Nothobranchius furzeri: one gene and its partners. The protein of the gene in region 2 interacts with the protein of the main gene of each other region in a pairwise test. Links are inferred from orthologs where the notes say so. Each region holds a gene or a part of one and is shown on either strand. Other genes may lie near its edges. The genes, in order: ubiquitin carboxyl-terminal hydrolase 54, atxn1l and RNA binding protein fox-1 homolog 2.

Evidence for each region.
Region 1: the proteins of atxn1l (region 2) and ubiquitin carboxyl-terminal hydrolase 54 interact in binary tests that used the Homo sapiens proteins (3 or more experiments, as listed by UniProt). The link is inferred for Nothobranchius furzeri from reciprocal best matches to the Homo sapiens genes ATXN1L and USP54.
Region 3: the proteins of atxn1l (region 2) and RNA binding protein fox-1 homolog 2 interact in binary tests that used the Homo sapiens proteins (3 or more experiments, as listed by UniProt). The link is inferred for Nothobranchius furzeri from reciprocal best matches to the Homo sapiens genes ATXN1L and RBFOX2.

The regions. Positions count from the first base shown.
Region 1 is NC_091752.1:44,843,658-44,847,991, forward strand, and holds the start of ubiquitin carboxyl-terminal hydrolase 54, read left to right. Parts: upstream 1-1,474; 5' UTR 1,475-1,640; intron 1,641-4,334.
Region 2 is NC_091749.1:59,412,671-59,416,773, reverse strand, and holds the start of atxn1l (ataxin-1-like), read left to right. Parts: upstream 1-1,210; 5' UTR 1,211-1,360; intron 1,361-3,630; 5' UTR 3,631-3,752; coding exon 3,753-4,103. UniProt on the Homo sapiens protein: Chromatin-binding factor that repress Notch signaling in the absence of Notch intracellular domain by acting as a CBF1 corepressor. Binds to the HEY promoter and might assist, along with NCOR2, RBPJ-mediated repression.
Region 3 is NC_091752.1:66,555,789-66,559,985, reverse strand, and holds the start of RNA binding protein fox-1 homolog 2, read left to right. Parts: upstream 1-1,397; 5' UTR 1,398-2,170; coding exon 2,171-2,428; intron 2,429-4,197. UniProt on the Homo sapiens protein: RNA-binding protein that regulates alternative splicing events by binding to 5'-UGCAUGU-3' elements. Prevents binding of U2AF2 to the 3'-splice site.

The DNA of each region.
Region 1 (4,334 bases), on a different chromosome or scaffold from region 2:
TTATCTTGTATACTAAATCTGATATTTAAAAATTCTTTACATGGATATATATTATTAATCGTTTTAAAGTGAACTTCCTTCATTTTGGGGAGAAGAGGGTAAGAAAGAAACTCTGTTCTTATGACTTTAGTATCTATAATTGAGAAAATCGGAGAAAGAACTTTCCTTCTGACAGGAATAGGGAATAACTTGTCTGACAAGACTGCTCTTAGGTAAGAGTTATTACATTTACGGTCTGTAAAACTCAAATCACCTATAGATAATTTAGGAAGCTTAGGTGTATTTGTTCCATGTTGAATACTTTGACTGACCATCTGGCCAACAGCTGGAGAAATAGCCTTTATAACTCTAGAGTATTCCGTTACAGAACAGTCTATGTTATACTTAATTTTGAACTCAGTATGCTCCAGAAACTTACCCTTACTGTCCATCAGCTGCATTATGGTCCAAACTCCTTTATCCATCCAACTTTTATAATATATCGATTTCCGTTTATACAGAACAAATCTGTTATTCCATATAGAGGAGGAATGTGGGCTAAAGTTTTGCGAGTAGATCATTTTCCAGTACATCAACACTTGTTTAATATAGTTAGAAAGTTTGATGGGTAATTTAAGAGGATCGAAATCACATTTTAACAGAAAATCTATACCTCCAATCTTCTCAAACAGAAATGAAGGAATACAGAACCAGATAGAATCTTTCTTAATTAAAAATTTTTTTAGCCATTGTAATTTAATAACTCCATTTATTACTTCAAAGTCAATGACTTTCAGACCTCCTTCTTCTATAGGTTTTACTAGATCGTTTTTTCCTAATCAAATGTTGTTTATTATTCCAAATAAAGTCATATTGTGTTTTATTTATTCTCTTAACATATTGGTCAGGGATAGCTACTGAAAAAGCAGGATAGATTAATCTAGATATACTCTCCATTTTTGTTAAGAGTATTCTACCAAAAATTGATATATGTCTTTGGAGCCAACTACTTAAAATCTTTTGATTTTTATTAATTATTGGTTGGATATTGTTATCCACTCTCTCCTTAAAGATTTTATTAATCTTCATACCCAAATACTTAATTTCATTCTTAATAGGGATATCGCAAATATGAAACTCCTCAGTATCATGAATTGTTAATATTTCACATTTGTTAGCGTTCAACCTTAAACCTGAGGCTTGTGAATTTTTGACGGAAACTTTTGCAACAAAAGTCACTTCCTTATTTGGCTTCAAAACAGACAAACACTTTGTGCTGTGTTTGTTTGTGAAAACAGTTTCTGGAGATAAAATCACATTGGCACCATCAGGGAGCAGGTGGGATCATTAAGGCTCGAGTCTATGTGGATGTTCTAGGAAACACCTGTTGCTACTGAGGGTTACTGGCCCTTTAAGAAATCCAGGAAGTGACAGGGAGCAGGCATCTGGTGGGAAGGAAGGAGGGGAGGGGCTTGTAGAGGAAACAGGTGTGTGAGCCTACAGCGATGATGTCATTGTTTGGCTGAGTCACCTGCAAGATAGCAGCTGAGATCAAAGAGGAGAGGGAGGTTTTTAACTGGTGGTCTTCCTTTGGAGAGGTTGGTGTGAAAGAAGGAGGCTCTGCTGAAGGGAAGATCAGCTGAATGCTGCAGTTTATCCAGGTGAGCAGGAAAGCAGTCCCTCTAAGGACATCTGAACCTTTAAAACATGATTACTATTTATCTAGTTTTACTCTTCATATACTTACTGTAATCAGAGTAAAGATCATATTTGTTTTTGTGTTTTTTTTTCCACTTTTAAGTTCTTTTAATTAAGTTATAGGTTTAAGTGTGTGTGTGTGTGTGTGTGTGTGTGTGTGTGTGTGTGTGTGTGTGTGCGCGCGCGCACGTGTGTATTCTTGTCTTTATAGGCTTAAGTGGACGCATTTAAACTTTACATCTGTAGTATGTGGACATGGTTAGGGTTAGGCATAGAAGAGTCACCAAAATGAATGGAAATCAACGGAGGATCCATACAGCAATAGAGACGTGTGTGTGTGTGTGTGTGTGTGTGTGTGTGTGTGTGTGTGTGTGTGTCACATGACAGGGTGTTTAATGTTCAGCTGAATCAACCAAATTAGTTTTTATAAAATAAAGCACTTTATGGATTTCATGCTGATTCTACTCGACTCTTCCCTCATTACAGCTTTATCCTGAGGATTGTTTACTGAGGATCAGTAAGCGTTCATAAGGTTTATGCAGCTTTATTACACAAAGACAAAACACAGTCACTTTTCTAAAACATTTTTGCCACATAATGTAGCTTGAAATGCTCTTCACAGACCGATGGTAACCATTTAAAGCTGCAATAGCAAATCCGTAAACAAACTAGCTTTTAAACACAAACACGGTCACGGTACTCTCACCCCTCCCGTTGGCTATGATCCCTGGTCCCACTGATGCCAGAACACACTTTGTCAGGAGAAACAAAATGGTGCCAAACACCAGTGGTAGTTTCCTAGGTCCAAACATTTTTTGTTGACTTCAAATGATGTTTTTCTTTTGGGGACTGGAAGTTTGTCCTAAAGTTAAAGTGGTAGCAGCCTTCTCTAATATAATTGAGTGGAGAACCTCTCACGCCAGTGTTCTGTGACTCAATACGTGAGTGTGTAATAAGTGGACTCAGGGAGGTGTGGCAGTTCAGCGAGACTGGCAACTAGATAGTCAAATAGTTGCTTTTGGACTGAGCCGTGTTATGAGCTGAAGTTTATAGACACATGCGAGAGAACCACTTTATTAACTTGGTTCAGTCATTTTAATCTCAATGTTTTGAGCTAGCTTGTTATGCAGATTTGCTACTGTATGTTTAAATGTTTTATTTAAAAAAATTGATTATTTTTATTGCCTTTGAAACATACAGTTCTGGAGAAACCTCATCCAATCATTGTGAACATCCCATTCCCAAAGCAACGCTTAGACCTCGCCCTGCAGCCCTCTGCTGATCAGAAACAGTTTTGTGGTTTGGTTAGGAATGCTAGAGGCAGCTCTCCATCTGCTATACAGCAATAGCAGTTTACTGTGCCAGTAGCTCATATAAAGGCTAGCAAGTAGCTTTTTCAGTTTGCTGACCTGAGGAAGTGGGAGGGGATGTATGTATGCAGTAGCTCACACAGGTAAGGCAGGGCAAGGTCATCAAGAGATTTAAAAGCAATGCAATCATTTAAACATTAAAATCCTTTTTCCTGTTAGGAGGTGAGCAGCAGCAGCATTTTGTACTGTCTTAAGCTGAGAGATATGGGCGTCACTTAATCCTGCATAAATCAACAGAAGGTTTCACAAATCACCAACTGTCTTTCATAACAGCTGTTGTTAATGTAGACCAAGTCAATGTTTGTAGTTTTGGGACCAGTTCTAATGTGGTCCAGATGCAAAACAGTGCTGAAATATGTGTTATTTTGACTTTTACGAAGGTTTCACAAATCATAAACTATGCTTTAAGGATTCTGTTATTGGTTTAAAATGATATAGTTCAGGTTTGAAGAGTTGAAGAGTAATAAAGGCACAATAAAGACGCTCAGGATTTCAAAACAATTAGTTGGAATTTTCATTTCTGACTCAGAAACTAAGAAAGGGACAAACTTCAGCTTATTTTATGTTTGTATGTTACAGAAACCAAATGTGGACAATATACCAGCCATTAAAAATGTGTGTCCTGTCCCCAAGGACATGTATAATGGCAAACAAAATGCACATAGGGGAGAGTTGAGTAAGTAGATCCTTAAAGTGCCTTTAAAGCAAAAGAACTCTAGGAAGGCCTCCAACTAAATTATGTAGGGCTGGGGGTAAACGACTATTTTTAAAACGATTATTCTGACGATTATTTTATCGAATAGTCGACTATTCTAATGACTATTTATACAATTAATCTAATGATTATTTTTCTATTGCACAGTTAATAAAAACCAAAAAATCTCTAATAAATTCCTCCAAAAAATTGATTAATTGTTACTGTAAGAGAATAAACACTACAGGCCTTCCATTTTGTGTAACACTGCTTTTATTGTGTTGGTTGGTTATGTTCTGGTGACGTGTAGAACTTGGGAGTGCAGGCTGCTGCCTGAGAGGTGGTTGGAGACGGAGTGTCTCCATGCTGCTTCGTCTTGGTCACTTATGTGCGTGAGGCGAGTGGTGTTACGACTCTTCCTGGGGAGTTTGGCTCGTGTGCAAAAAGGAAGGGACAATAATATGGGATTTAAAAGTTAAAATGATGATCGGGTTTATTTACAACTACAAAAAACCAAATCTTTCCATCCACAGGTTGGGAGTAATAAAACTAATTCTGCCTGTGGGGAATTAAAACAAAAGTACAGATAACTA
Region 2 (4,103 bases):
CAAACAAAAAACAACTCATCTGCGCTTCCTGTAGATTCCTTTGAAACAAATCATACCACCTACATTTTTTAAATTAGTCTCTAAATAGGGAAAGCCATTTATACAAACTACTCAACTGATAAAACTCAATAAATCTGTTTTTATTATTTGTGTTTAACAAGATTAAATCAATGAGCTAAAGCAGGAAATATTTAATGAATTCAAAACACCTGCAAAGGTTCCTGAGCCTTTAAATTGTCCATCAGTCTAAATTGGATTACTGAATCAAATTGCACCAAATTGTAATTTTCGAGTTTCACCTTTATAAGTGTACTAATTAAAATGAAATAATGTTGATAATATTGTTTCTTCCTCACTAGCTTCTCTTCATGCTGCTGTTTCTGCTAATTCTGTATCTGTCAGGATTACGTATTTTTTATTTTTTATTGTTCTTGTGAAGCCCTTCGTGATTTTTTATCTTCAGAGGCACTCTAAAATAATAATGTCTTCTTTTTCATGATAATTAATTTTTTTACCCCCGCAATTTTATCTATTTCTTTTCGTATGTTTTGCTTATAATTAATTAGCACTGTGAAGTTTTTAAATAGTAAAAGTCATTCTGAAATTACACCTGCCTTGATATCACTATTTCTTTCTTATGGAATTTATTCCACTTATCAAAGCCCCCTAAATAACCCTAAAATATTTAGGCTTTCTCTGGCAGATTAAACGTGTCATTTTTGGTATCTGGCAACAAACAAATTGTTTTAATTATTATTATTACTTTGTGTATACTTATTCATCTCTTGTTTCTTTCTACAATAAATAATTTGTTTGTGATACTCGGCTACAGGGAATAAAATATAAATGTACTAAAAAGGAATGTTATTTAAGATGTTAAATAAATGACTAGTAAGGGAATTATTTGGTATAAATATAAATCTAATGTTCACAAAAAAGTAAAATGGATTGTATGTCACATACTCTAATTTCCCTATATATATATATATATATATATATATATATATATATATATATATATATATATATATATATATATATATATATATATATATATATATATATATGTGTGTGTGTGTGTGTGTGTGTGTGTGTGTGTGTGTGTGTGTGTACGTTAATATATACGTTATATGTTAACATGGCTTTCTACGCTAGAGTATTTTTTTTTTTTGCGTGCGCGTGCTTTACTCACTCGTGCGCGCTTAGAAAAACAGGAAATGAGTAAAAGTGGTGACATCATTGGTGAGCGCCTCTTCTGGCCTTCGAGATGGGCTTCATTCGTTAGCCTTGATTTTTCCGACTGTCTCTCCGCATATCAGGAGTTTTAGAGAGGAAAGCCCGTCCGCGATGACATTTGGAGGTAAGGAAGCAGGACGAGACCGAGCAGAATAACTCACAATAGCCATTACAGTTTGTTTGAGTCGAGCCGGACTCTTGTAGCTGTGTTAGCCATGGAGCTAACTAGCTTCAACCTGGTCCGGATAATAAATTATAACCCATTGGCCTCGTGCTACATTCGCTTTCATTTAAGTGCAAAATATGTTTAACGATGGCGTACTGACTGTCACCCTGCTTCTGTTTTTAAATGAAACGGGTTGTTTCCAAGAAGTAGCTCGCTAACTTTAGCCAAGTCAGCCAGAAGCCTAACGGTAAACACTGACTCAGGACTGAGCTGTGGGAGACAGAAACCCCTGATGTTTATTAAATAACTATTGTTGTTTTTTATACGTTTCTTTCCATAAAACTTTCTTTCGCGTTGTTTATATAATATTTTTGATCACTGGAAGATAAATCTATCCTGGATGACACAAAATAAACTTTTTTTTAGTCAACATTTATTTATTAATTTCTGCCTGTGCTCTCTTAAAGACCCTATATTTATTAAATATCATTCTAAACAAATGCTTTTCACAGACTTGTAACAGAATGTTCTTCTGAAACAATACACAATGTTAGACTCTAATCTTTATGACTGCAGTCCGTGGTTAGACTTGTATTTTTCTTCATTTTTTTTAATTCACAAATTTACGTATTTTATAGATGGTGGATGTTAGAGAAAGACTGATATATTGGACTGATATGTACCATTTTCTGTATATCGTCTAATATTTCTCATTAGTAGAGCTGATTTAAAGTCAGGCATTTTCATGGAGAGTATGGTGCAGCCACATTTTTCCTGAATAACATCTTTTTAATAAATGATCTAAAACATTACTGTTTTTTTTACCTGTGTTATATACTTGGCCAGTTAATTGATGTTTACTTAATTTATGACTGGGAAGTGACTAAATTAAGCTTCAACAGTTTTAAACAGGTTAGGTTCAGCTTAGTTGCACATCAGCTGTAGCTAGTGTGACATTTCAGAATGCAAATAAGGTGTAAAATGTCCAAATGTTGGCCTTGAACATCGGCCAAAACAATCGGCAGCACTTACATCGGCTGACTTAACTCAGTTTTACATTTTCTACTTCTTAATTACTTTGTGGGTGTTGTTAGTTTTCTTACTTTATTTGGGGTGTGATAAACTCCATATCACCCAAAAAGTGTTTCTTCTGGTATATTTGAGCATTTATTTTATTTGATGTAGAAATATTCATCTCCTCTTCTGTAACGGCTACTTCCAGTAAGGGTTTAGGGCAGCTGGTGCCTGTCAAGCAGTCACTAGGCGAGAAGCGGGAGGCACTCAGTTCTGATCACCAGTTCATCACAAGGCCATGAAAGCCCCTTTCCCACACATTTACTGTGCGGTTTGGTTCCTCTCAGTTCTACATAGTTTGCGTGGTTTTCGATTACATTTAAGAAACCGCTCGTCATACATGTACCCAGGCCCATTGAGTCTCAAAAGTAGCGCACCGTGGTCTGTACAGGATACAAATGTAGCACAACGCAACAATGGAGGACATAGTAGCGATGAACATTCTGCTCCGTCTGTTGCTTTTTATCTGACTCCAAAAAGAAGAGGCACAGAAAAGGCTGCAGGCATCAAGGCAAATTACTCTGTATAAGTACAGGAGTGTGGGATGCAACCAGATGGACACTCATTTACACCTAATGACAAGAATAGCCAATTAGCCTAACATGCATGCTTTGGGTTTGTGGGAGGAAACCAGAGTATGTCGAGGTAGCCCCATGGCGTGGGGAAAGAGTGCAAACTCTGCACACAAAAACCGCAGCTGGGTGTTGAACATGCAAACTTTTTGCATGCAACGGTGCTACCAACTACACCACCATGCCGCCTGTTTAATATTTATTTATACACACAAATGTCACTGAGACACTGCATCTCACTCTCAAGAGGGAGCAGTTAAGAGTTGATCATAGAAGGTAAACAATCACTACATCACATCTTTTATAAAGTACTCTTGATTTGACTATTTTTTTAGACGGTTGTAAAATAAATGCATTTTTGCTTAAAAAACTGTTATTGCTTCAGCAATTGGTTGTTGTTTTTTCTTCAAGAATGACTCGACTCCATTGCAAACAAACTTTGCCAAAGTAAATAACATTTTCCTTTTTCAAAATGTTTTGTGATCCTATTACAATACAAACTGCTTTGTCGTCCTTGTTTGACTGACCTAACTGTACCTGACATGAATGTAAAAAAAAGATGCTTTTCTTTTTCCCTTCCAGGTAAATCTGTAGACGGGGTCAGCCAGGTAATTTCAGAACTGGCTTCTGAGTGGGCTGTCTGGCTCGCAAGTTTCACTTCCTGTGCAGTACAATAAAACAACTTTATTGGCCAAAGGATTGCAATGAAATCTGCTCAGGAGCGCAACCAGGAGTGCCTGCCTCCTAAGAAGAGGGACCTACCAATCAGTAACAGTGGTGGAGTTGGAGGAATAGGTGGAGGTGGGGCTGGTGGAAATGCTTCTGGAGGCAGTAATGGCAACGACGAAGGGGCAACCAGTCAGAACTCTGCAGCTAACAGTGAACCTCACAGAAGGACCCCATCTGGAGAGTGGCCACGAGGCCATCCGGAGCTTCATTATGGAGTGGAGAACTCGGATGGGATATCAGCTATGCCTGTTGACCAGTATAGTATGCTTTATAAAGTGGCTGTTCCATCTGCCACCTACTCATCCACCAGTCTTCACCCAGTCTTA
Region 3 (4,197 bases), on a different chromosome or scaffold from region 2:
GCTTTCCTTTAATTGTTTTTCATTATTTCTCAGTAAAATAAATAAACAGCATGTTAGGAGTTTTTATTGTTACTAAACAATATGTATTGTTTTTTAACACGCAATCTGTCTACAACATGTCAAGGTTTTTGTTTCTGCTAATTCTCTTTAACAAGTGTGCCTTGGTTTCATTCACTGTTGCATATAAAGGTGACTAGTTGAGACTTTTGGGACTTCAGCTACTCTGACTTGGGCTCCAACAAAAATCCCACTAGTTGGCAAAAAATGTTTGTTATGGAGCTGGTGCCCATCAAGTAATTCAGAGAAGTAATGAAGTAAAACAACTATATTCATTTTTTATTATGTCGAAAGAAAGGTGCATGGTTTCTGTAATCTATCTACGATGTCCTGAAGATAATATTATCTTTTTTAAATTCCATTCCCAACAAACAGGGTAACTCCCCAATTAAATCAGCAGCTGAAAAACACGATTAGAGAGTAACAATTCAACTCAAGCCTTTTTACAACGAAACTATGCTTTATTATTATTATTATTATTATTATTATTATTATTATTATTATTATTCATTTTAATGCAGGATGAACATTTGCTTTAATGTTGTGTTTGTGCTCAGAAATAAGAACAATCTAATCAATATCAGAACACTCAGTACCAGACTTTAGATCCACATTTATAATGAAAAGTGTCTCCCCGTTGACGTGCTGTTCTATCCTTCAGCCACTTGAAGGCGCTAAATGATTCAGAAAGAAAACCCCTTGTAACGGAATACTGTGCGTTACATTTACCCCCATGTCCAACTAAAATATTAAATGAAGTCCAGACAACAGAAGCCAGATTGGGTCTCATCGTAATTATTTATAATTCTTCAATTTTTGAAAAAGCTAATTGTAAAGACCGGTTTGCATATGTATGAAACAATTAAAAATATAAATATTTAATGTACAGTTTACATGTATTTAGGTTGCATTTTAAAGCTACAAAAGTCAAACATATCAATAAAACCTAAATGAATTAAATGTAGAAAATATGACTTTTAATGAATCTCATTTCTTTTCATTTTTGTCATGATAGTAACAAGATTTTATAATACACAGGCTATTTTAATACAACGTGAAGGAATGTGTTGACATTTTTTACTGAACTATGTAAATTGTTGCTGTTTTATTTTCTTTTTTTGGGGGGGGTGAAATGTATAAAAAATTGTTGTTGCTTTTTTCGATTTTTCTGTGTGTTGTTGTTTCTAATTTCCTTTATTTCTTTATAGACTTGAGGAATTTTTCGTCAGGTCTAAAATCGGTTAAACAATGAAGGTTTTCGTTTATTCGACCAAAAGACTGAAATAAGAATAAAGGAGGGAGCGGTGAGGCGGAGGAGGAGGTGGTGGTGGTGGTAGGTGGCGTTGGGAAAAAGGAGGAGAAGGAGACCAGGGAAGAACAGACCTCAGACCAGTCCGTTTCACCTCAACGTCTTCTGTCTAATCCCAGTCTTCGTGGTAAAATCTGACCTCGGATCAGCAACGCCAACACTGGGAGAGTGTGGGACTGAATCCAGAGGAAATCGTGCTCGTCGGTGGTGGCCAGGTCGACACGAGAAGACTCATCCACGAGTAGACCACGGCGGCGAGGGAACGGACAAGACGGGAGCGACTGAAAGGAAAAGCGGATACGGAGGAGTTTTAACCCCGCAACAGCAGCCAGCAGAGCGAGCTCTGGCTCTCCGCTCCACGCAGGAGTAGTGTGACGTTCTGCTCATTTCCAACATTTTCTATTCTTGGCAGCGGGAGTGAGGAGCTCTCCGAGCCACATTTATAAGGAGAGCTAGCGGAATGTAATGCTAGCGAGCTGGCTAACGTTAGCTAGCTAATTAGCCTATCAGGCATTCGCGAGTCGGACGCTTGATTTTATTAAAATAGGTCACTGCTTGGCGACATCTGACTCTGTTAGGGAGAGCCTGCTCTATTGTTGCTCTTTACGGGTTCCTAGTTCGGCCACAATGGTCCTGCTGGCTTAGCCAAAGCCAAGTTAAGACAATAAACAGTGCGAGCTTTTCATATTGATGAAAATCTGTTCAATATTATCCGCGTTGTGTGGGAAAGCCATTGTGAAGCAAACGGAAGAAAGGAGGTGAAAACAAGCTGCAGACTTTTGACTTGTGACCGCCTGTCGTCCAATGTTAATGTCGACCGACGTTGCATCTATAATGCTACCCGTTAATCGGGGAATAATGGACCGCGAAAGGGACATTGATACAGTAGCCGCCGGACCTCATGCGAGCGCGGCCGCGGGTCCAGCGGTTGTCCGGGGGATGAAACGGGGAGACCCGGAGCCCGACGCTCAGACTGCCGCTGCCCTGACCGACCTGGCCGGGGCGGAATGCAAGAGACCACGGATAGACGGGACCGGGAGCGTGGTCGGAGACATCGGACAGGTAGGATTACTCTAAAACCCGTCAGACACATTCGTGTGTGTTATGTTCTCATCTCTTCTGCTCACATTTGCTCCTCAGCATCATCAGGAGGGATGTTTTGACAGGGCCCTAACTCTCTTTCAGCAACAACACAACCCTGTCATCTTTGCAACAAAGAACAAAAACATTGTAACCAGACAGGGGGTTTATAATTTAGAGGCCAGTGAAGGAATATTGCGAAATGTGTCTCGTTGAGACTCGGGCTGTGCAGTGAAGGAGCAGCCCAGACAAAGGTAATATGATCCAGGCTCCATTGCTATGACAGACAGCAGCACAGCAAAGATCAGACATTCATCATGCCTGTCTCATATGAAAAGCTAGTGCTTCCTCCCATCCGGCAAGATTTTTAACACGTTTTCATTCAAATCAGCTAAAAATGATCAAATATTGTCATTTTTAAAAATGGATTTTCCCTAAATCCTGACACATGGCTGCTCCCCCCTTCTCGGTGTGGCTAGGTGTTAAAAGAGAGAGGCAGACAGGGATTGGGGGAGGGGTCACCACAGTGAAAGACAAAGAACAGAGTTTTTTTTTTGTCGCTGGAGGCTGAAGGAGCAAAAGGAGGCTCAGGGGGGCCTTTCTTAACTGCAGGTCTTCGCTGCATTCATGACTCGACAGCTGAGACAGCAAAGCATCTGCAGCCGGTTCTGCCTCTCTGCACTGATCTACTGTCTACAGTAAACCACTAGTTCTCTGGATTTGTTTGCTATTAGTCCCTCCATCTCCTCGGCTCATAAACACGCCGCACAGCTCTTTTTCTTACACCTACACGCATACAGTTTGAACTGGCATCTAATCCAATAATAGAGCAGGACAGTTTAGCTGATGTCTGGTGTTTTAGTTCAGGAAAATGGCTCTGAGAGGAGCGGCCAGACACAGCATGAGGTCACCTGTGTGCAACCGAATCCAGACGAGTTGGTAAAGCTCTATCAAAGAGGGGGCGCGTGGTCGACTGCAACAAGCGGATAGCATCTATGTTAGCATAATAAAGAATCAACCTTTAAGATTGGGGTAGAGGAAAAAGTAGAAGAAAAGCAAAATGATACAGTGCTGTACTTCTGATATCTTCTGCTTGTTTTCTGTTAGATGTTTCAGCAAAGCAAACAATTTCTAGCCTGCCAAGCCGTCCTATATGTGTGAATATATGGTCTGACCACGACCCATAGACAGAGCTCAGTTGTGGGGCGGAATCTACGGTTGTCTTTCAAACTGTCTTCGCACACACCTGATCAGTGCCAGAGCCAGTCAGAGCAACAAACAGAGTGATGTTTTCATCGCCATGGCAACCAGTCAGTAGGGCAGTCTGCCTTACGCCGTTGAAGTAGTTCTATTGAGTCATGTCTCAAAGAAAAACCCAAGTCTATATCGTCCAAAGTTGATGCCACAATTGTTTCAAACGGGCACCGTTCCTTAACCGGCACCATCTTTGTAGTTTTTTTATATCGCAGCTCTTGCGGTAATCCTAACAAACGTAGAGCGCTGTGATTGGGCCAGTGGTAGACCTGCTGAGGTGTGGCTAGACCAACCTGTGTTTTTGCTGCTGCTACAGTTCGTCTGGATCATTAGGATAAACAACTTCATCCTCATGCTTCATGTAACTTGGACAAATACAAAGTTTTGTTTTTGAATAAAGATTAAATTCACGAAGCTTTCTAAACTGACCTGGTCCTATTAAGATGACTGATGCCTAAATTTAATAATCAGTTGTAACACACTTAACATCAACCAAT